3 linked regions of the Struthio camelus genome follow. The protein of the gene in region 1 interacts with the protein of each later gene in a pairwise test. Links are inferred from orthologs where the notes say so. Each region holds a gene or a part of one and is shown on either strand. Other genes may lie near its edges.

The links.
Region 2: the proteins of EMD (region 1) and TRIM42 interact in binary tests that used the Homo sapiens proteins (3 or more experiments, as listed by UniProt). The two-hybrid records come from large-scale screens. The link is inferred for Struthio camelus from reciprocal best matches to the Homo sapiens genes EMD and TRIM42.
Region 3: the proteins of EMD (region 1) and TRAF3IP3 interact in binary tests that used the Homo sapiens proteins (3 or more experiments, as listed by UniProt). The two-hybrid records come from large-scale screens. The link is inferred for Struthio camelus from reciprocal best matches to the Homo sapiens genes EMD and TRAF3IP3.

The regions. Positions count from the first base shown.
Region 1 is NC_090979.1:105,466-112,725, reverse strand, and holds the start of EMD (emerin), read left to right. Parts: upstream 1-4,233; 5' UTR 4,234-4,306; intron 4,307-6,473; 5' UTR 6,474-6,476; coding exon 6,477-6,558; intron 6,559-6,707; coding exon 6,708-6,779; intron 6,780-7,207; coding exon 7,208-7,260. Other genes in the region: SYP (synaptophysin), read left to right, coding at 236-434, 949-1,140, 1,829-2,128. UniProt on the Homo sapiens protein: Stabilizes and promotes the formation of a nuclear actin cortical network. Stimulates actin polymerization in vitro by binding and stabilizing the pointed end of growing filaments. Inhibits beta-catenin activity by preventing its accumulation in the nucleus.
Region 2 is NC_090950.1:10,498,156-10,505,978, reverse strand, and holds the start of TRIM42 (tripartite motif-containing protein 42), read right to left. Parts: upstream 3,050-7,823; coding exon 3,017-3,049; intron 1,231-3,016; coding exon 902-1,230; intron 1-901.
Region 3 is NC_090965.1:8,845,833-8,853,853, reverse strand, and holds the start of TRAF3IP3 (TRAF3-interacting JNK-activating modulator), read right to left. Parts: upstream 3,060-8,021; 5' UTR 2,719-3,059; intron 2,525-2,718; exon of another isoform or gene 2,388-2,524; intron 2,288-2,387; 5' UTR 2,150-2,287; intron 1-2,149. Other genes in the region: 11-beta-hydroxysteroid dehydrogenase 1, read right to left, coding at 4,450-4,670, 5,155-5,298, 6,282-6,467, 6,610-6,721, 7,316-7,473, 7,862-7,985. UniProt on the Homo sapiens protein: Adapter protein that plays essential roles in both innate and adaptive immunity. Plays a crucial role in the regulation of thymocyte development.

The sequences.
Region 1 (7,260 bases):
ATTTGGGGAGAAGCTCCAGGCCCATAGGGACCAGCCAGGGATGCTCCAGACCCATAGGGACCATTTGGGGAGAAGCTCCAGGCCCATAGGGACCATGTGGGGAGACGCTACGTGCAGTGGGGAGGATGCTGGTCCCCGTGTCCCGCCCCAGGCCGCGTGGCGGGTGCCCTGGGGGTGCCCTGGGGGCGGGGGGCCGGTGGCGGGGGCCGGCGCTAGCCCGCTGCGGGTGCCGCAGGCTGCACCAGGTGTACTTCGTGGCCCCCACGTGCCAGGGCGCGGGGCAGGAGAAGGTCTTCCTGGTGGGCGACTACTCATCGGCGGCCGAGTTCTTCGTCACCGTGGCCGTCTTCGCCTTCCTCTACGCCCTGGGCGCCCTCGGCGTCTACCTCTTCCTCGACAGCAAGTACCGGGAGAACAACAAAGGGCCCGTCATCGTGAGTGGGGGCACCGGGAGGGTGGGGGACGTGGGGGGGACACGGCATGGGGGGCTTGGGGCATGGGGGGACAAGACACGGGGGGCTTGGGGACATGGGCATGGGGGCCACAGGGATGGGGGGGCTTGGGGATATGGGACAAGACATGGGGGGCTTGGGGACGTGGACATGGGGGGACGACACTGGGGGGCTTGGGGACATGGAAGATGTGGGGCAGGACATGGGGATGGGGCATGGGAACATGGACAAGAGATGGGCACAGGGACATGGGGATGGGGGGCAGAAGGATATGGGGGACATGGGGCAGCTGGGCACGAGGATGTGGGGACAGGGCAAGGGGGAGTGAAGAGGACATGACATGGGGGACAGGACGTGGGGGCACGGGGACGTGGGGGCACGGGGACGTGGGGGTGGGGGGGACATGACACGGGGGAGGTGGGACAGGACGTGGGACGGGGGGAGGTGGGACACGGGGACACGGGGGGCCGGTGGTGAGGGGCGCCCCCGCCGGCAGGACCTGGTGGCCACGGGGGTGCTGGCCTTCCTGTGGCTGGTGAGCTCCTGCGCCTGGGCCAAGGCGCTGGCCGACGTCAAGGAGGCGACGGCGCCCGCCGGCGTCCTGGCCGAGCTGCCGGGCTGCCAGCGCCCCGGCGCCCGCTGCCGCGGCCTGCGCGCCCCGCTCACCTCCGGCCTCAACACCTCCGTGGTGAGCCCCTATAGCCCCCTATAGCGCCCCTCGAGCCCCCCTACGGACCCCTCTCGTCCCCTATGGCCCTGTTGGGCTGCCAGCGTCCTGCTCCCCTCTGGACTCAACACCTCCGTGGTGAGCCCCTATAGCCCCCTATAGCGCCCCTCAAGCCCCCTACGGACCCCTATAACCCCCCCATGGGCCCCTACGGACCCCTATAGCCCCCTATGGCCCTGCTGGGTTGCCAGTGCCCCGCTCACCTCTGGCTCACCTCCGTGTTGAGCCCCTACGGACCCCTATGGTGCCCCTATAGCCCACTATGGTGCCACCGGGCTCCCCTGGGACCTATAGCCCCCCCCCCAAGCCCCCCACAGTGCTCCCGGGGGACCTATAGCACCCCTATGGTCCCTCATGGTGGTCCCCTGGGATCCTTGCAGCCTCCCCCCCACACACTGTAGCACCCTTGGGACCTATGGCCCCCACAGTGCTCCCCCAGGGTCTATAACACCCTTGGAGCCCCCCCATAGAGCTCCCCCCAGGACCTATAGCACCCCTATAGGCCCCCATAGCAGTGCTCCAGGACCTATAGCACCCCTAGAGCTCCTGCAGAGCCCCAGGACCTATAGCAGCCCCGCAGCCCCCCCCACCCCCTCCAGCCCCCCCGGTGCCCCATAGGCGGCCCCCTATAGCGCGGCCCCCCCCGCAGGTGTTCGGCTTCCTCAACCTGGTGCTGTGGACGGGCAACATCTGGTTCGTGTTCAAGGAGACGGGCTGGGGGGGCCCCTGGGGCCGCGGCCCCCCCGCGGGGGCCCCCGAGAAGCAGGCGGCCCCCGAGGGCTACGGCCCCGGCGGGGGGGGCTACGGGCAGCCCGAGGGCGGCTACGGGCAGCCCGGCGGCTACCAGCCCGACTACGGCCAGGGGGGCTACGGCCCGCCGGGGGGGTACGGCCAGCCCGAGGGGGGCTACGGCCAGGGCGCCCCCACCTCCTTCGCCAACCAGATGTAGGGTGAGTGGGGCTGCGGGGGGGGGCGCTGGGGTGCCCCACGTAGGGCTCTGGGGGGCAGTCGGGGGTGCCTGGGGGGGCTGGGGTGCCCCCATGGGGGTTTAGGGGGCAGTGGGGGGAGCTGGGGTGCTCCACGTAGGGGTCTGGGTGCCCCCATGGGGGTTTAGAGGGCATTGGGGGGGGCTGGGGTGCCCCACATAGGGGTCTGGGTGCCCCCATGGGGGTTTAGAGGGCATTGGGGGGGGCTGGGGTGCCCCACATAGGGGTCTGGGTGCCCCCATGGGGGTTTAGGGGGCATTGGGGGGAGCTGGGGTGCCCTACATAGGGGTCTGGGTGCCCCCATGGGGGTTTAGGGGGCATTGGGGGGAGGTGGGGTGCCCTACATAGGGGTCTGGGTGCCCCCATGGGGGTTTAGGGGGCAGTGGGGGGGGCAGGGGTGCCCCACGTAGGGGTCTGGGTGCCCCCATGGGGGTTTAGGGGGCGGGGGGGGCAGGGGTGCCCCACATAGGGCTCTGGGGGGCAGTCGGGGGTGCCTGGGGGGGCTGGGGTGCCCCCATGGGGGTTTAGGGGGCAGTGGGGGGGGCTGGGGTGCCCCACATAGGGGTCGGGGGTGCCCCCATGGGGGTTTAGGGGGCAGTGGGGGGGGCTGGGGTGCCCCACGTAGGGGTCTGGGTGCCCCCATGGGGGTTTAGGGGGCAGTGGGGGGAGCTGGGGTGCCCCACATAGGGCTCTGGGGGGCAGTCGGGGGTGCCTGGGGGGGCTGGGGTGCCCCCATGGGGGTTTAGGGGGCATTGGGGGGGGCTGGGGTGCACCACATAGGGGTCTGGGTGCCCCCATGGGGGTTTAGGGGGCAGTGGGGGGGGCTGGGGTGCCCCACGTAGGGCTCTGGGGGGCAGTCGGGGGTGCCTGGGGGGGCTGGGGTGCCCCCATGGGGGTTTAGGGGGCATTGGGGGGGGCTGGGGTGCACCACATAGGGGTCTGGGTGCCCCCATGGGGGTTTAGGGGACAGTGGGGGGGGCTGGGGTGCCCCACATAGGGGTCTTGGGGACAGTGGGGGGGGCTGGGGTGCCCCACATAGGGGTCGGGGGTGCCCCATGGGGGTTGGGGTGCCATGGGGGGCAGCCTTGGGGGGCTGGGGTGGCGTCGTGGGTCTGGGGTGCCCCACGGGGGTCGGGGTGCCGCCGTGGGTCGGGGTGCCACTGACGGCCTCTCTCCCGCAGGTCCCCCCCCGCAGCAGGGGGCGCCGAGCCCAGGAGCTGCCCTGGGGGGCAGGGGGCGGGGCCTATGGGGGCGGGGTGGCCCCGCCCCCTCTGTCTGCACCTATGGTGTCTGTGGGGCCTGCCCCATAGCCTGCCCCACAGCCCCGCGGCCTGCCCCATAGCCCTGTCCTTAGCCCCACGGCCTGCCCCATAGCCCTGCCCCATAGCCCTACAGCCTGCCCCCTTGCCCTGTGCCATAGCCTCGTGGCCGGCCCCACAACCCTGCCCCACGGCCTGCCCTGTGGCCTGCCCCGTAGCCGTGCCCCACGGCCTGCCCCACGGCCCCGTGGCCTGCCGCGCAGCCCTGCCCCACGGCCGTGCCGCCCCCCCTGCCCCCCAGCCCGGTGTCTGTCTTGTGCCGTGATCGTGACGTCTGGGGCCCCGGCGCCCCCCGGCCCGCCGTGGGGCAGGGTGGGGGGGGTGGGGGGGGGCGCGACCCGCCGGCCCCACGGAGGGAATAAACGAGGAGAAACGAGCCCGGCCCGCGTCCTCCTTGGGGGGGGTCTGCCCCACACGTGTGGGGCTGGGCTGGGGGGGGGGGCCGGGGCCCCCGCCCGGCAGGAGCCCAGGCGTCCGGGAGCCTCCCGTCCTCCTCACCCCGAATGGGCCCAGGCGTCCGGGCCCTGCCCTATATATGTGGGGGAGAGGGGGCTGCCCCATAGCGCCGGGTGGGCCCGGAGGGGCGTGGCCCCGCTGAGAGCACGCCCCTTGGTGGGCTTGGCCACGCCCCCGATAGGTTTGGCCCCGCCCCCGGCGTCCTGTCCGCGGCCTGGCGGGCTGACCCCGCCCCCCGCTCGAGCTGACCCCGCCCCCCGCTCGAGCTGACCCCGCCCCCGCTCGAGCTGGCCCCGCCCCCCGCGCGCTGGCCCCGCCCCCCTGAGTCACTTCCCTTCGCGCGCGCGGCCTGGACGCAGGAGCGAGGTACCGGGACCCCCGAGCGGCGCCGGGCCCGGCCCTCGGGGGGCCCCACGGCCCTGCCCCATAGCCCCGGGGGGCCCCGTCCCCCCACGGCCCTGCCCCATAGCCCCGGGGGCCCTGTCCCCCCACGGCCCTGCCCCATAGCCCCGGGGAGCCCCACGGCCCTGCCCCATAGCCCCGGGGGCCCCTGTCCCCCCACGGCCCTGCCCCATAGCCCCAGGGAGCCCCACGGCCCTGCCCCATAGCCCCGGGGGCCCTGTCCCCCCACGGCCCTGCCCCATAGCCCCGGGGAGCCCCACGGCCCTGCCCCATAGCCCCGGGGGGCCCTGTCCCCCCACGGCCCTGCCCCATAGCCCGGGGGGCCCCACGGCCCTGCCCCATAGCCCCGGGGGCCCCTGTCCCCCCACTGCCCTGCCCCATAGCCCCGGGGAGCCCCACGGCCCTGCCCCATAGCCCCGGGGGCCCCTGTCCCCCCACGGCCCTGCCCCATAGCCCCGGGGAGCCCCACGGCCCTGCCCCATAGCTCCGGGGGCCCCTGTCCCCCCACGGCCCTGCCCCATAGCCCCGGGGAGCCCCACGGCCCTGCCCCATAGCCCCGGGGGCCCCTGTCCCCCCACGGCCCTGCCCCATAGCCCCGGGGAGCCCCACGGCCCTGTCCCATAGCCCCGGGGGCCCCTGTCCCCCCACGGCCCTGCCCCATAGCCCCGGGGAGCCCCACGGCCCTGCCCCGTAGCCCCGGGGGCCCCTGTCCCCCCACGGCCCTGCCCCATAGCCCCGGGGAGCCCCACGGCCCTGCCCCATAGCCCCGGGGGCCCCTGTCCCCCCACTGCCCTGCCCCATAGCCCCGGGGGGGCCCATGTCTCCCCATGTCCCCTCATGTCCCTGCCCCATAGCCCCGGGTGGCCCCGTGGCCCTGTCCCATAGCTCCAGGGTGGCCCCATGTCCCCTCATGTCCCTGCCCCATAGCCCCGAGGGGGGCCTGTGTCCCCTCATGTCCCTGCCCCATAGCTGCAGCATGGCCCCCTCTCCCCCCACGTCCCCCACATCCCTGCCCCATAGCCCCGGGGGGGCCCCTGTCCCTGTCCCCTTCCCTGTCCCGCCAGCCGCCCCCCGTCCCCGTCCCGCAGCCTGCTCCGCGCCCGTCCCCCCGCGTGTCCCCGTGTCCCCCCACATCCCCCCCGCGTGTCCCCCCATCCCCGTGTCCCCCCACGTCCCCCCGGTGTCCCCACATCTCCATGTCCCCCCACGTCCCCCTGCGCGTCCCCACATCCCCGTGTCCCCCCATCCCCGTGTCCCCCTCGTGGGTCACCTCGTGTGTCCCTACGTCCCCATGTCCTTACATACCTGTGTCCCCCCGCATGTCCCCTCCGCGTGTCCCCACATCCATGTGTCCCCCGCCCCCGTGTCCCCCCACGTGTCCCCCCATGTGTCCCCACATCCCCGTGTCCCCCCGCGTCCCCCCGTCCCCGTGTCCCCCCGCGTCCCCACATCCCCGTGTCCCCCCGCGTGTCCCCCCGCGTGTCCCCCACGTCCCCGTGTCCCCCCGCGTGTCCCCACATCCCCGTGTCCCCCCGCATGTCCCCCACGTCCCCGTGTCCCCCCGCGTGTCCCCACATCCCCTTATCCCCCCGCGTGTCCCCCCGTCCCCGTGTCCCCCCGCGTGTCCCCCCACGTCCCCGTGTCCCCCCGCGTGTCCCCACATCCCCGTATCCCCCCGTGTGTCCCCCCGCGTCCCCGTGTCCCCCCGCGTGTCCCCCCGTGTGTCCCCCACGTCCCCGTGTCCCCCCGCGTGTCCCCACGTCCCCGTGTCCCCCCGCGTCCCCCGTCCCCGTGTCCCCCCGTGTCCCCACATCCCCTTATCCCCCCGCGTGTCCCCACATCCCCGTGTCCCCCCACGTGTCCCCCACGTCCCCGTGTCCCCCCACGTGTCCCCCCGTCCCCGTGTCCCCCCGCGTGTCCCCCGCGTCCCCGTGTCCCCCCGCGTGTCCCCCCGCGTGTCCCCCCACGTCCCCGTGTCCCCCCGCGTGTCCCCACATCCCCGTATCCCCCCGTGTGTCCCCCCGCGTCCCCGTGTCCCCCTGCGTGTCCCCCCGTGTGTCCCCCACGTCCCCGTGTCCCCCCGTGTGTCCCCCACGTCCCCGTGTCCCCCCACGTCCCCGTGTCCCCCCAGGCCATGCAGAGCTACCGGGGCCTCACGGACAAGGAGCTGCTGGAGAAGCTCAAGAGCTGCCGCATCCCGCACGGCCCCGTCGTGGGTGCGGGCCGGGGCGCGGGGGGCGCGGGGTGGGGGGGCCGGGCGTCCGGGGGGGGGGCCGGGGGGCTCCTGCGATGGGGCTCCTGGCCGTGGGGGGTGCCGTGGGGCAGGGGGTCCCAGGGGTCCTGACCCCCCGCCCCGGCCCCCCAGGCTCCACGCGGAAGCTGTACGAGAAGAAGGTCTACGAGTACGAGACGCAGCGGAGCCGCGTGGGGGGCGGCGGTGAGTGGGGGGGTCCTGGGGGGCTGGGGCAACCGGGGGGGGGCGTGGGGCACCCTGGGGGGCTCCGGGAGCCCAGGGGGGCAGTGGGGTCCTGGGGCGCTGGGGGACCGCAGGGGGGTAACTGGGGTCTTGGGGGGTCCCAGGGGGCTGGGGGGGCCACGGAGAGGTGGGGAGGGACCCCAGGGAGCTGTGGGGGGGCCATGGGGGGGCTCCGGGACCCCAGGGAGGCAGTGGGGTCCCAGGGGGGCAACTGGGGTCTTGGGGGGGCCACAGGGAGCCAGAGGATCCTGGGGGGACTGTGCAGGTCCCTGGGGGGTGTTGGGGGGCAGGGGGTCCTGAGGGGCCCCTGGGGGGCCAAAGGGACCCCGGGGGGGCAATGGGGCTCCCGGGGGGACACCACTCCCCCCAGTGACGCTGTGTCCCCCCAGACCCCGGCTCCTCGGAGACCTTCATGCAGGAGTCGTACCAGGGCCCGGAGGAG
Region 2 (7,823 bases), on another chromosome or scaffold:
TCACTAAAAAAAATCACATTTGAATTATTTCCGATTAATAGAATGAATGAAGATCATCCTTAGTGTTAGTAGCAGCCTTATTGTGATTGATTCTTTTATCTTAATTGCTAAGGCTTTCAAATCTAGGTAAACATTCTGGATTACTACAGAAGAGGCCTGCCTTTCAGGCCATGGTAAATCCCTGTTATCTTCAAATCTTGATTGTTCTAGCCTGCCTCTTACCCTGTGGACGTTATTCTTTTAAAAATCCAATGTTACCTTTGTACTACTCCACGAGTAGTTAACAGAGTTTCCAGAGCCTTGACAGGAACACCAGTATTCAATGTTTCCTGTAGATCTCGTTCTGGACCACAGCAGTCTGGCACTCTGCTGTATTTCTTTTTAGCATTCATATTGCTGTTGTTGTCCTTCCCTCATTCTCTCCCTACATGTTCAATAGCAACTATACTATCAGCTTCTGTTGTCCATGACAAACAGTAAACTAAAGAGAATAGAATTTTCTGTTGCTGTGAAGATTCCTTCTGCTCTTCCTGGTTTCGCTATATAGGAATAGACCATACATTTCCAGAAGTCCTGTCAATTCCTTTCTGTTTGCTGCTATTGTAGTCTCGAGTTCTTTTGCTAGCTTGCTAGCTATTCTACAGAGGTATTGGAGAATACCTTTTCAGTTGACTCCTCTTTAGCTTAGTGTTTCTGTATTTAATAATTGGCCCCTTCCCTTCTGCTTTTCAATTTCATCTTCTAAGATGATATCCTGCTGTTACTTGAAATAGCTGGGAACTGGACTCTATCAAGCCAACAGATCTTATGTTCCTAAATGCAGCGCATCCATTAAGACATAATGTCAATCAGAAAAAAGGAAAAAACCCACAAGAAATTAAAAGCTTTTGACTCCACTTACTGAACAGTCCCTAGTGCTCTTGAGTGGTGTGGTTTGTAGACAGAGTTTCTGCAGCATCTGCTTTCGTAGTACTGACACGCTGAGTTCTCCCCACCACAGCAGTAGTATTTACAGTCTGGGTCATTTGAACAAGAGCAGCAGCACCACCAGCAATTTGCATGCTCTGCACATGAGCAGTGGCAACACTGGCAGGGTGCATCTTCTGCATACGGACATGGGAAACAGCTGCAGTTCCGCTCATTGGTAAATAAGAAGCGCCAGCACAAACAGCATCCTTCGCTTCTGCTGTGGCAAGTCAGGTAACAGCAGCAGCAGTTTGAGCAGCATGGGTGGATTAAACAGGGACGTTCACTTTTGGCCATCACTCTATCAGACACTTAGAAGAAAGTTCATTAATCTTCTCAGCTTCTCCTCACACTACAGCTTTACAGCAATTTGGCTCTCAAGAAGGCTTGCGGTTTGATTGTTGGGTCAAGCTCCGTGCTGTGAAAACGTTCTAATGTCCTGTTCTAACTGGAACAGAATAAGGATGTCACAGTGACACATTCAAATAAGGACACAGGCAGAATCTCACACACATAGAGCTGACACACTGATGGCATCATCTGTACATCACAGTAACTATAATCATTCTTCCTGAATTTCTTGAAAACATCTACCTCATTCTCCATTAATCGCATAGGCAGCTTACACACCTAGATATCCTAAGGCAACCATGTTCTTAAGACAACACACTTACTTTATAGACATTTCATTGGCTAAGTTGGGTGCCATAAGTGAATGACCTGAATCAGGCCCTAATCAGCTATAGTGAGATTTTTCATCAAACCTTCATAAGACGTTAAGCATAACACATGAAAGAACTAAGATTCATGCATCTGGAAGCATTTCCCTGTAACTGTCCTTATTATAAGCCTTTGTTTGCCAGCGTTTGTGCTCTTGAACAATGTATGCCGTTCGTTCCCTCAAGGCCTAAGGAAAGGAACTAAACTTGGGTTGTAGGTTCAGTACTATTGCTCATTCACTGTGGACCTGCCTTCTTTCCTGAAGTCCAAGTGTGTTTCCTGTCCTTCCTTAAACTCACCACTCTCCTGTAAGTGCCCCACTCTCCTATAAATGCAATATTAGACATCATATTTTAGTTATTCTTTAGTTACCTCATATTAAGCACCTTCTGCCTTAATTTAGGTGACCTACTCCAAGATTTAAATAGCATTTTATATCTGTTTACAGGGATAATAATTTTGAATAAAAATTAAGTTATTGTAAAGTATGTATAAGCTTCTCAGTATGCTAGTAGCTTACTGTAATGCAGATATATAAAAAAAGAAAATCCATCCTCTAGGAGTCACCTGTGACAGACAGCTAAAACAGCTTATTCTCTTACTTGAAACTGTAAAGAATAGTGGTGTCTATATGGTACATTTTCAAGAATACTTACTTTTAATTGTGGCCTCTGTACTGTAGGTTGCTAAGAGCTTCTTTAGCAAATCAGCTTGTGTTAATGGGTTAATGTATAACTGTGAGTTACTAAGATAGGTCTTGACATAGTTTATTGTAACAGCTCCTCTGAGCCTCTTTGCTCAGTCTGTTCTGCCTAGAGAAATTTTAATTCACTGATCCAGAGCCCTATGGACCATAATGGCTGTGTCATTATGGGTAGCTATTTACATGATGGGCCATAATAGGTCCTTTGGAATGGTTATGCCTATTGTGTCAAGGGGGTTTTCATGCATAAGCACTAGATCTGTGCGCTAAAATTCTTTCCATAGTAAAACCTGTACCTTTAGTGGATGATAGTTACTCCATTTGTCTTTCCAGTTTAATCAAAGGTAATACGCTTTTTATTTTGCATGTTTAATTTTAGAAGATGAAAACACTTTTGAATTCAATTAATCGGTAGAAAAAAAGGTATCTTGTGATGCTTGTCTGCTTTTCTTTTCCAAAATGCAAGCATTCTTATATCCTTTTTTGAGAAAGGAGAGGTGGAGGAGTAAAGAAAAAAAAAAGGAAACAGATCTTAGTCCTGTGTATCACATTTTAGATCAGAGCAAACGTTAATGGCCAAGTTTTAGCAGCTGGTGCCTATGGCTCTCTTTTCCATCTCTACACAATGCAGCTGTTCAGAGTACCTTCTTCATCTATCATTCTGAGCAACACCTTTTTTTTTTTTTTTAGTGTTTTTTCTATGAGTTGTGTTTTTCCACTGGGCCTTGAACTTGTTTGTCCCCACCTCCCCATATAATTCCCGTAGCTTTAGTGGTCAAATTCTTGCGTTAGCAAAACTACTCTCACCATCGGCCTCATTCCTTTGCAGCTCCCAGTATAGGTGACCCTCTCTGAGTCTATCTATGAACGTGCAGACAGTTCTGAAATGATCCCATTTCATTAGTATGTTTATTCTCCTCTAACAGATACTGAAAGATCAAATCAGTCTGGCTGCCAGAGAAACTGAATTAGATGCAACAGCTGCAGCCAAACTGACGGACTTTTAATAGTGTTTGCAAACATGCTCCCCTCTGCCCCCACCTCTGTTGTGGTTGGGTCTGGCTGTCATTTTCATCACAGTTCTCAAGACAGCCAGGCTCAGATGTGGTTGGCTTCATCAACAAACGAGCCTGACCCTGCAAGGTGTTGAGTCTCTTAGGCCTTGTTATGATATATGGCCATTACCCTAGTGCTCAAGGAAAGCCAAGAAGAGAGAGAGAAATAAAAAAGGAAAAAGAAAAGCACAGTACGGTGAAGACACAGGTCAGTTTCCATTACTTCATATTAGTTACATATAGTCACTTGTGTTGTACTTCCGTTAGCTGTCAAATAATATAATCTAATATTTTTCACTTGGCAGCTTATCCTATTTAGTTGTGTTTTTCAAGATAAGCCTAAGATTGTTGTCTTTTTTTTCTTTCTTCTCCCTTTTGCTCTACCTCCAGATATCTCTGTGATATTTCTAACGTTAGTATTTCTAACTCAAATTCTAGAATGCACAATGATTAGTAATGTACAAAAAGTTGGAAGAAAGACCATATGCCATTTGTAGCTTACTCCTTAACTAGTGTGTATAGTAACACACTATGATATGAATCTGGGTTTCATCGGTTGTCTCCTTCTCACCTGAGAACTGGATTGTGTATAGCATCTTCTTAGACTTTTATTCACTGGAGAGGAGAACAGACGTGAATATGTGTATTGCTCCATCATTGGTGGAAAATAATAATGAAATGTCATGGACACGTTCCTCACCACTCACATTTCAGGTATCAGCGGGTTTGTTAAGGTCTTAGTTGTGTTTTGTCACTACAATGAAGGGGAAAGCTAGGTTCTCCTGTATTACCCCAACCCTATCTTTAACGTCCTGAATGTAATTTCTCTGTTAAATTATTTATTCCTCTTACGATGAGTATGGTGAGGCACCTCATGTCTGTGCTCTTAGTAAGCTTATTGTCTTGCAGTTCTTCGTCCTTTCACCAACTCAAAAAATAAGGGAGAATGAAGGAAACCTGTCTCTTGCTTGCATCCTTACTTCACGCAAGAATATAAAGTAAGCACTGTCTCAGCAACTTGGAAAATTTAACTTTGGCTGCCTTCACGCACTGCCAGAGAGGTAAAGCAAGCTCGTGAGTCAGGGAGAGGAGGAAGAGGGACTGCTACCTTACTGTCCTTCCTATAAAACTATGTAGCCCAGCAGGATTCTCTCTCTAAAGGGTATAGCAGCTCTTTATCAATAAAATGAAGTGATTGAGGTGAATTGACTGCAGCACATGGCAATGTCTGCTTTGGGGGTCTTAAAGAATGAAATATAAAAAGCCTGACGTTATACACCCTAAAACGGAGGCACTCAGAACTGAGAGTCACTTCTCAAAGCATTATTTCTGGTTAGCTGTGGCTTTGCCCGCAGCAACCAGCAACAGAATGGCAAAAAGACTGTCCCTTTTCTCGTAAGAAGACTCCCAGTTTCTAGTTCATTGTTTCCAGCATCACTTTACAACAGGTATATCTGTTAGAGGGCAATTCCCTAGTGATGGGACAGCCTAGGAAATAGTGGGGTTTACAGTATTAGCTTTTTTCTTGCTTTGTAGAGCTTCATTGCCTCTCCATAATTCAACCCTTCATCTCTAGCCAAATGGCTACCCTTATGTTCCAAGCCACAGAAATATTTGGATGGCTTCTTTTGAAAAAGGCAGAGTTGAAATATTAATCTCTCCACAGTTGCTCTCTGCCTTTCTTCAGCAGAAAATTTGAGAGGGCTCAGCTGCTATGGAGGCAGACCGGTGACAGCAGCTAGACCAGAGATGGGGGATGATGAGACAAAAAGATTAGCAGCCAGTAAAGCAAGAGAGTACATTGTGAGCTTTAGGCTCCTTCATCGCTCTAAAGCTGTGTAAGTATACCACGCTGAGCTCCATATGCCTATGGATAAAGAAGACAGAGGAAAAATGATGATAAATTTTCCTTCTACTGCTTTTTGCTAATGGATACAAGAAAGCATTATTTGATTTATGTATGTAGGACTACTCCATGGAAAAGGTAATACTAATGTACATCTAACAGTCATTCAAACTCTCTTTGACTTCAAAAGTGTTTCTGAATACTACACACTACAAAAATTACAAATGTTAGGATTGACTGGCAATGCGAAATACAGTATCTGCGGAGTACATTATCTGAGCCAGAGGGAAAACTAACAACAACGCCAGAGAAAAGGAATTGCTAATGACTTTTTGTGTTCTTCATTAAAAAGATTAACTGTGATCATGTAGTAACACAATTAACACCCGCAACATATAGTTACCAACTATGTAGAGTAAAATAAGAGAACAACAAGCTATGTTACTCTTAAGTAAATCTGTGTTTTCAAATTCTCTGGGCCTTATAAAATTCACCAAAGGAATAAAAAGAAGTATCTGGAATAATCAGAGGGCATTTAGGAGTTATTTTTAAGACTTCATGAAAAACATTGGAAAAGAAATTTAGAAGAAAATTAAGAATTTTAATTTTGGTATGTATGTAACATGCTGCTCAAAACAGATGCATTTCCCACAGACCAAGAACTTTCCAGTGATGCTGCGCCAGAGAAATAGTAGCATTTTATACCCCTTTGCACAGATCTCAGAGGTATACAGTGAAACGCTACAAAATGCTCCAGAGGATGTGTTTGTCATAGATGTTAAGAAACTGTAATAACATGCCGTTACTGCGGGTCAGCATGCATGGTCTTTCCCAACTCATTTCTTAGTCCTGTTACGTGCAGGCCTCTTGGCTTTATGTGTTAACAGTCACAACGTGAGGCCTGTCATTCGGTGGAACAAATGAAAGTTCAGGCATTTCACAGAATGACTGGAAATACTAGGTATGTATTATGCGTATCATTCAGTCCCTGCTCTCACAAGCAGACAGGGCATTAGTGGCAGCTGTTGCATTTATTTCTCGAACTGTGCACCACAGTGTCTGTCATGTCGGGGGTCTCCTGGGCAGGCCCTCGGGACTGGCCCGCCACGCAGGGGCAGTGTGGGGACCTCAGGCACCCCAACTGGCGCGCTCACCCGGCTGGCGGGTCCCCACCACAGCCCCCTGGCCGGGTCTCGAGAGGAGAGGTCTCGGAGCGCTTGGGGGACGGCAATTTTAGGGCTGCGCTAAATATCCCAGCACATCTCAGGAAAGGTACGGGCCTCATTGCCTCTCTGAGAGGGGCACAAGGTGGTCACAGCGCCACGAGGTCGTTCAGGCGGGCGCTTCGCCGTGCCCTGGGGCCGCCGGTCGCCGAGGCAACGGGGCGGCCGTTGGGCTCGCGAGCGGGCGGGACGGGGCGGCCGTTGGGCGCGCGCGGTGGGGGGGACGGGGCGGCCGTTGGGCGCGCGCGGCGGGGGGGACGGGGCGGCCGTTGGGCTCGCGAGCGGGCGGGACGGGGCGGCCGTTGGGCGCGCGCGGTGCTGGGGACGGGGCGGCCGTTGGGCGCGCGCGGTGGGGGGGACGGGGCGGCCGTTGGGCTCGCGAGCGGGCGGGACGGGGCGGCCGTTGGGCGCGCGCGGTGCTGGGGACGGGGCGGCCGTTGGGCGCGCGCGGTGGGGGGGACGGGGCGGCCGTTGGGCCCGCGGGCGAGCCGCCTGCTGCTGCGCGGATCGGAGTGTCTGAAATTTGGTCTCATCGTTCAGTTTTCGTCCTCTCTCCTTCTGGTAAGTTGGAGCGGCTGTCTGACTTTTGGGTATCGCAGCCTCGAGCCCCGTCTCCCCTTTCCCCTGTCGGTTTGGCTCCTAGCGTGCGCTTCGTCGCGGCCACCCCCGGGTTGCCCGAGCTCGGTGCGTCTTCGTTACCGTTTTGGCTCGCTCGAAGTTCCCTGCTGTTTGCTCTGCCTCGGCCGTTTTTCCTGGGGCTGTGACTTTTTTCGAGCTGGGCTGGTTCCCAGAGTAAGGATGTTCATCTCCTAACGGTGGGGTGGGTCTGTGTTGCTGCTGAGACTGCAGAAGAGAAACACAACCATCTTGGCTGAGTACTTTAGCTAGCAGAAATGTAGCAGCTGCAAACCAAGGAATTTAAAAATAAAGGCCATGATACATTAAAACGTGCCGGACTTTGCTGTGTAAAGGTGCTGTATAAAATACTTTATATGATTACTAATCAGTCAAACTTAGTGCTTATTTAAAGCAAATTTGCCTTTTCTGGTGCAAGAGCATAAATGGATAGTAACCAACCTTGTTAATTCCCAGTGTTTTCCCTGGTCGTTAGTGATTAGGTAATTTGGTGATCAGGCACTTGCCCTGTGCTTCAGGGAGCTGTCCCTGTTAGCATATCTGCTTTCCTGACCATAGCACGCAGCGTCTGCCTCACTTTTTAGCCTATTTTTCATTCTTGTATTGGTTCTCCGCTGCACGTCCTGATGACTCTCCTGATTAGTCTGGCTCTAAGCGGTAGCTGGCTTATTAGG
Region 3 (8,021 bases), on another chromosome or scaffold:
ACTTCATCACTGCTTCTGCTTACAGCCCTTTAGCTAACCTAAAGAAAACACAGGAAGAACAATGGCTACTGCTATTTCTGTAATGAAGTTTTTAAGTGTGCATTTATTTTGCCATTTTTTTCTCAGTAAAAAAAAAAAAGGTAAAAAAAATAGTAAATATAGGTTTGCTATTGTATAATTTACTTTTCAAGCAGTTGCATGTATTTCTTAGTGATGGTTGCCTTTTCTGTGTGCATAGAGGTCTGGAACACTGAAAACAGTGTTACAGAGATGTTTTTCAGTGGAACATCCAAAAAGGGCCCAAGAGATCTAAGCACCCAGTTTCTAAAAACCCTAGCTAGCCAGTGCTTCTTTCTTTTATCTCTGTGTTGCTCCCTCCCCTTCCCCAGTATTTTGGCTTAGATGGCTGCTAACTCTCAAGGCAACCTTTTCCACCCCCCTGTTCCTCCCATGATCTCCAAGGGAAAACCAGCAAATCCTTCTAAGCCCAGGGGAAAAAAATTAGAGCTTTGGCTGCATGCAGTGGAGTTCAAACTCTGCAAAAACACTTGTGAGACTGGCGAACCTCAAATCGCCAATCAAAGCACAAACATGTAATTCCTAACTCCAACTTTTGTTTAAAGTTGGACTACTTTCTGTTCTGCATCATATAGGAATAAATTCCCCAATTCAGTGTGTATTTGAGTGTTTCTGATGCTAATTTACATCAGTGTAAGTGAGGACTGGAATAGCTGTGTTGGGACTGTGACAATAATACCAATTGGGCTGAGGGAAACTTAAGGTATTGCTTAGATTATTTTCCGATAATAGGGTCCAGAGGCTGGAAATGGAGATCTCTTCCAGATGTCATCTTCCATGTTAAAGCAACTCGTGTGCCTGGAGGGAGCGGTCACAACAACAGCATGTATCTTTGCAAGGCAAGGCTCCAATGTCTCACCCTATTTTTTGCTGTGACATCAGAATGCTGAGGCTTTTGTCTTTGGATTGGACCACTAAAGGTATGATAGTAAAAGCTATGTGCAACACTTCTGAAGCAACTGTTGGTAGCAGTTATTAAATGCGTCTCTGCTAGTTCAGTGTCCTGCAGCTGGCTGCTCTCAAAGCTTGGCAAACTGAAAGATGGTTGGCTTCAGTAGATCACTCGGATGCCTGGCAGGCCTTCCGTGCTCCTGCTAACTTTCCCTACTTGCTTTTGTATCTGTCATCAATTCTGAGTATGAGAAGTATTGTGGTGTGGGGTTTTTTGTTTTGTTTTAATGTAGGATGGAGTATGGAAAAAGAAGAATTTTAGTCTTGGAAAATCCAGGTTAAATCTTGCTAATTGTCAAACAAAAACAACAATTGCATTGTCTCATTTTGTCTCAAGCAATTAAGAAGTCAATGAGTCTAATGAAAAAAATTAATTTTTTCTGTGTTTAAAATCTGCACCGTAATACTCTTTATTGGCTTTTATTCTAGATGTGGCATAACCTAAGCATGTTACCAGCACTGCCTTTTTATAGGGACTTCCTTTCAAAATGAGAACAGCCTTTTTAAAACGATCAGAATAGTTCTTGCCTTTAAACAGAGGAAATGCATGCAAACTAACAACCAGCATATTGCTTCAAATGCTCAGCCAGCCAGTCAGGAAAACGAAGATTCAAAGATATTGCTGAAATTAATCACTTAACTGAAAGATTAGACAGCAGTCTTTTTTGTATTCATATTTGTTTTAATATTCTGTTCTTTGAAACTTAATAGATTCTGAAGTGTCTCTAATTTTAGCCTAAATTTACAGAACAATCCCAACAGTATTTCACTACTCAGATGCTTCTTATTGTAATACGTAATTGAAGTCTGGGACTCTAAAAGGCAAAACATATTATTTCCATACAGCTTTCATGTCCAAACCATAATTTCATTGTTTTCATTTTGGGCCTTTTCTCTTCTTGCTCACACATGCGCTTTTCCTTAGCCCAGCAGGCAAGGTCTGGCAAACAGCTTCACAAAGCAATATGCCCAACAAACCTCCCTTAAAACCTGAAGCTGGATATGAAACCCTTATTTTGGGACAAAATGTATATATACAGCCAAACTTGCTCCAAACTCTTCAGGATCTGATAAAAGCATTTTCAACTTAATTTTCTTAACTTAGAAATGACTTAATTACATGCTGAATCGGGGCACTGCTCCTCAGACATCCTTCTCCCTTCCACGCTCAGAGGCCTGGTCGGTTAAACTCTGTCCCTCTGTAACAGCGCAGTCACTGTCCCACCTGCTCCACCTCTGTGGTCTGCAGATCCTGTTACTGTGCATCCCAAGAAAAGCTTTTATAATATAGCTGGTTAAACAAAAATATGTTTTAAAGCAAGGCAGAAACATAGAGAAATACACAGTCCGTTACTTACCCCACACTAAGCAAACTGTTGAGGCATTCTTGACAAGTTAATGTTTTATTTTCTTCTGTCACTTAAAGTTACCCTCTCTAATTAAAAAAAAGTGTCCTTTATCTTTGCTTTCCAAGCTGCTACACTTCTCACTTCAAGTGGGAAAAAAAAACGGAAAAAAACAAAAAAAAAAGTTTCTTGTTGGTTCATGTTACAACCTCCCAGTGTCAATCATGTAGGCTGAGACCAGGGAAGGGGTGTGGGGGGGGAAAGGCACATGCTGCCGCCTTTTAACTTGCCAGCCTGCTGTTCCTGTCCATCCTTAGCTAGCCCCAGAGCTGTAGACACTTACCTCTGTCCTGTAATGCTAGCCTCGAAGTGAAAGAACCGAAAATGAGTTCAGTCCTATTCCACAACCTCTGTGAAGCTTTGGCGGAGAAAAGGGTGAGCGCTAGATTATCAGGCACAAACATGCTCCAACTGCCATCTTCGTTCCAACCGCTTAATTTTGCTGCTTTTTTTTTTTCTTCTCTAAAACAGGAAATGTATAAGCCACAGTGCCTAACCCTGGTTCCTGTCTCTGCTCTGAGTTTGTAGCATAGGAGAAAATGCTGCTAGGTGCAAGGCAGTGCTGGGGCCTGGCTCAGTATGAGATTTGGGTTATGTTGTGATGCGAGAGGCTGCAATTTCACTGTTAGGGCCAGCAACTACCTTCTGGGCTATCTTTCTTTATCAGTCTCTGACACTCTGAGGTTGAGTGCTGGTGCAAGGAGTTGTTTGTGGCGCATCGTGACTGAATCTTTCCAAGCTGCTTTGAGTAAAGAATGCAGACTTAGGGAAGTACAGTAATGCTATTATTTTAAGGCTTCTTGTAGATTGGAAAAAGTGTATTTTAGCAGCTGAGGAAAGGTCACGAATGGCAGAAATTCATCAAGGTCTTTACAGAGAAGTGAAAGCTGTGTTAATGCAAATCATGTAGAGAGGTTGGTTTAACCAGCTGTGCACTGGTAAAGGTTGTTTGTATATTCATGTGGAAGAGGAGCAACAATAAAAGTATATTATAAAGTAATATGAGATTTCTTTTCTAAAGACCAACCTAGAATGGGTACATGACCAAAAAAATCCAATTCAAAGACCCTCTTGTATAGCTTTGTCTGTGAGGTTCATGCAGTTCAGCCTAAATCCCTATTTGGAATGAACTGAGGCCCCTTTCCCCTTTGCTTATTAACCATGTGGCTCCCCTTTATAATCCTGTTCCCCATGCCCCCAATCTAAATCTTTTTTGTTAATTTTTTAATATAGCTTTGACCAGGTCACTAAGGTATTAAATTTTTCAGTCAAGCTCCTATGAGTCTCCTTGTCTTTCCTGCAGAAACACTGGAGTATGGCTTGTGGGTTCAGCTCTCTTTCACGTTAATTGCCTTTTACTTAATCTCTTCTTCTGTGACAGGGATGTGATAAAATGAAGGGAAAATATACGGCAAAAGCATATACAAATATCAGAAGGCCCAGGATCCTAGTTTGTATACTTCTCAAAACATTTTAAGTTTTAATGACTTGCAGGTTTTCTAGTGAGGGAATAGTTTCTAGACGTTGAACTGCAGTAAGGCACAAAGCTTAACTTTATTCAGGCTGGAGTGGCCAGCTGCCAGCAGAGAAAATCCACTGATAGGGAAATTCTGCTGTCAGTACACTTTTCTGAATTGTTTATTGATCAGAAAAAGCTAGTTACAAGAATTTGTTACTAAAACAGACATTTGCATGCTGTGTCATAGATTTCTGATATGCCTTCTCTTAAATTGACAGCTTTGAGGAGGCCCTGTGTTCCCCGGCCATGTTGCTTTCAGAAAAGGTCCATGCGCAACATCATAGGGCGGGATTTTTTTTTTTTTAAACATCTGTATGAGTGGGGACACAACTGCTCAGATGTATCACTGTGAAGCCACTCTGGTGACATAGCAAACAGCACCCAGAATAGCTGGATTAATACCAAAATCGTGTGTCCTGCACAATGTTCCGCTGTGTTCCTGTGGCCTCATGCTGACATGCTTGCTGCCTTAGGAGGATCCACTGTGTCCTATAGCTACTTTTTTTTGATATTTTCCACTTTAAACTTGTTTCTTATGAGAGAATCAAGGAAGTCTGGAGCCCAGTCTCGAAGGAAGAGCAGACTCCTCATGGTTGAGTATGGATAGTATAGCTCTCGCTGGCGCAGTGCTCCGCTCTTGATGATCTCCAGCGCGCACTCCTCCTTTGGTGCGGCTGTCCCACGAATCGCATGGGGAATGGTTTTCATAGCACTTTCTAGAGAGAGGAGAGCAAGAAAAAGTGATGTCAGATGGAGGGAGGCTGCAACAGGTACTAGAGGCTCAAAGTTCAGAGGTATCCATGGCTTCATTTAACAAACTAATAGAAATGCTGGGGATCAGGTTTATTTCCTAAAGTTTAGAATATGTACAAAATTACAGTAATATCCTTCCCATGCCTTTCCAACTCTCAACTAATTCTAGAACCAAATCCCCATCTCCCCTGAGTTTATTACAAGGATAGTTGAGTCAAAGGTCTGGGACCGCTTTTTTTTTTTTTTTTTTTTTTTTTTTTTTTTTAAATGTTGAGCTCCTGTTTCCAAAATTGTGCCGCCACTTAAGGGCTGAGGTTTCAGCAGTGCTGGGGAAGTAGAATACTGGCAGATCTGGAGTGCTTTCTTCTGTCTAAAATGCCTTTTCTGACTTAGCAATGGGTGTGCACAGCTCCTAAATAGTGAGGCCTAGATAAATGTCAAACTTACCAGTATCAATGAGGCCCAGGACACAGAGTGTGATGGAAACATTGACATTGTCAGTGATGAATTCCTGTCGCAAGGAGCTGAAAAATCCATCTAAGGCAAACTTGGTTGCAGAATAGGGAGCAATAAATGGTATGCCAACTTTACCTGGGATGGGAGGCAGAACGTCAGTGTTCACATATTGCACCAGAGTACTGTCCTTGGAGTAGCTAAAATATTTAGATTTAGAGTGACTAAGTGATCTATTCTGAGTACTTGAGAGAAATAAATATATGAAAGGATGTTTAAAATGAGGAGGAGAGAAACAAAAGTTTTCCTAACTTAATTTTCCTGTAGCATGTGACATATAGTGACATGAAGTACATTCAGTTGTAGGTGATACTGTTCTTCCGTTCCTGCATTACGCATCCATGTGTAGCAAATGCATAATAAATGGCCATGCACATAAATAACATGCAGTGGCATACCATCAACTGTAATGCATAGTATTTTTCTTAGTTTGAAAGTTAGATTTAATGCTGAAGGTATGCTGCTGTGATAGGCCCATCAGTTTTGTGTAGTCCTTGGCCTTTATCAGAGAATGCTTTCAAGGCAGGTTTTGTTGCTTTGATGTTAAGAAAGAACCGACGTATAACATCTGTCTTCAGCATTTGCTATCGCTGCTTAGCAAGATGTGGGTTTTAGCAGCCCCTCCCTGAACTTCCTGTCTCTGGGCTTAGAGGTACAGCTCCAGCTGTGCACCCTTCATGGATGCCTGTGGAGCTGCAGGAAAGAGAGATGACTTGCATAGTTTTTAATCTTCTCATCCCAGGTTTTGGCAGGAAGTTCAGCTAACTGCAAACATAGGACCTCAGGAGTGTGTATCCCTCCTTCATGGAGAAGACAGTGGGTAGGTTGAGGAAGAATGGGGTGTAAACTATAAGTTTTCCAGATGACTTAACTTGCACACTGGGTGCACAATATATACAGATTCCAATCCCAGCCAGATAACTTCCTGCCTTATGGTCCTTATTCCCTCCTTTGAGGAAAAGCTGCAGATGGGATCCCTTGCAGGCAGTGGAAGAGGCTTAAAATCGGAGAAGAGCGTGGCACTGGCTGCCCTGGGACTCCCTAGCCTGTCTCGTGCTCACCTGCCATGGATGAAACGACAACAATGCTGCCATTGCTGCTCTTTAGCATTGGTAGGGCAGAAACAGTCATGGCCACGTAGCTGAGGAAGTTGGTCTCTAGGAGCTTTCGTATGTGTCCGACATCCCCATTGAAGTAATTGAGATAGCTGTGACCGACGTGGTTTAAGATAACCATGTCAAGGCCTCCTGGAAGCAGAACATGTTTGTTATGGGCAACTTGCATCCTCAAAACAAAAGCCTTTACTTGTTGGCTAGAACACCTTGAAACATAACTTGAGCAAGGGGGGTGTTGGAGGTTAATGAGGAAAAGGCAGATCCCACCACATACCCCAGGCTGTCTCAGCCTCTTTCACCACCTCCTTGGCAAATGCTGTTTTCTCCATGCTGCCACTCACATAGCGAGCAGATGCTGCACCCAGCTTGAGGCAACGCTCCACAACCTGTGACGGCAGTGAGAACAGTGTTAGACACAGGTACTCCTGTGTCAGCTCCCAGCATCCTGCAAATGCTGTAAGCTGTCTTTTGGGCCAGATAGGAAGAGCATGTCTTTCTGCCCATTGGTAACTGTTTTGACTTCATGGGAGGAGATGTATTGCTCATATAATTGTTTCTGGCTGCAATGAGTTAAACAGTGGCACATCTGAGCCAAATATTTAGTGTTTATAGAAGATACTGAAAAGGGATATGACTGCTTAGTTGATTCTGTTGCATACTGGGAACCAAAACAATTCAGACTTTGACAACCATAAGGGTTGATCAGACCAAGATCTGGGCAGCCTAGTATTGTCCTTGGTGGTGATCAGCGTCTAAAACTGCAGACTGTGGAGAAAAATGCTGTGCTGTCAGCATTGAAAATACAATCTAAAATGGTGTGAGGAGTTCCCCAGGTTCATGCTGGGGAAAATGGAACAGCGAATCTCTATGGTATCTGGCATCCTCATGTGCTCTGGATAGGGTGAACATCCATGCACTTTTTACCTGTGGGATTCTGGATTGTAAAACTTAGTCTACTTGATGTTATGGTGGCTGGGCACCTTGGGAGTGCTCTGTTTTGCATTTACTTTCTGCAACTTGGCCTCCGTCCGTGCTGTGATCAGGATATGGGACCTCATGCGTGCCAGGTGATAAGCCATCTGCTCTCCGATTCCACTGCTGGCGCCTGTGATGATGACCCGTTTCCCTCTGAGCATCTCTAGAGAGTAGGACACAGCATCAGACCCCTAGTGCAGGCCCATGCTGTGCCTGGCAGCCCCATGAGCCAGAGTGTTAGTTCTCCAAAGCCCTTGAGAGCAGAGTCTCCTCTCAGCCTATTTCACCTTTGTTCCCAGATAAAGGGATCAGGGAAGCTACACGCAGAAACACTGCACTACTGTAACATGCAGCTGCTCTCACAAACCCAGAGTGGAATTTGCTCCTTAATCCTTGTCTGAACTGGAGTGCACGAGAGATCTAAGCTCTGCGGTCCATTCTGTGAGTAAATTTAAAAGATGACTAGGGTTTGACTAAGGAAAGGATTAAACATTTAAAATGGATAAATGCATATTTTCAGACAAATTCATTTGCTGAAATCAAACACTTACCATGTGATCCTAGCAGAGCCCAACCGAAATCCTGTGAGTTTCTCCTAGATGGTGCAGCATGCTCTGAACAGTTGCACTGTGCTATTGCCTTTGCCAAAATTCCCCTTGACAAGCTCTCATCCATCCTTTGTATTAGGAGGTTTACCAGCTGCATTTTGAA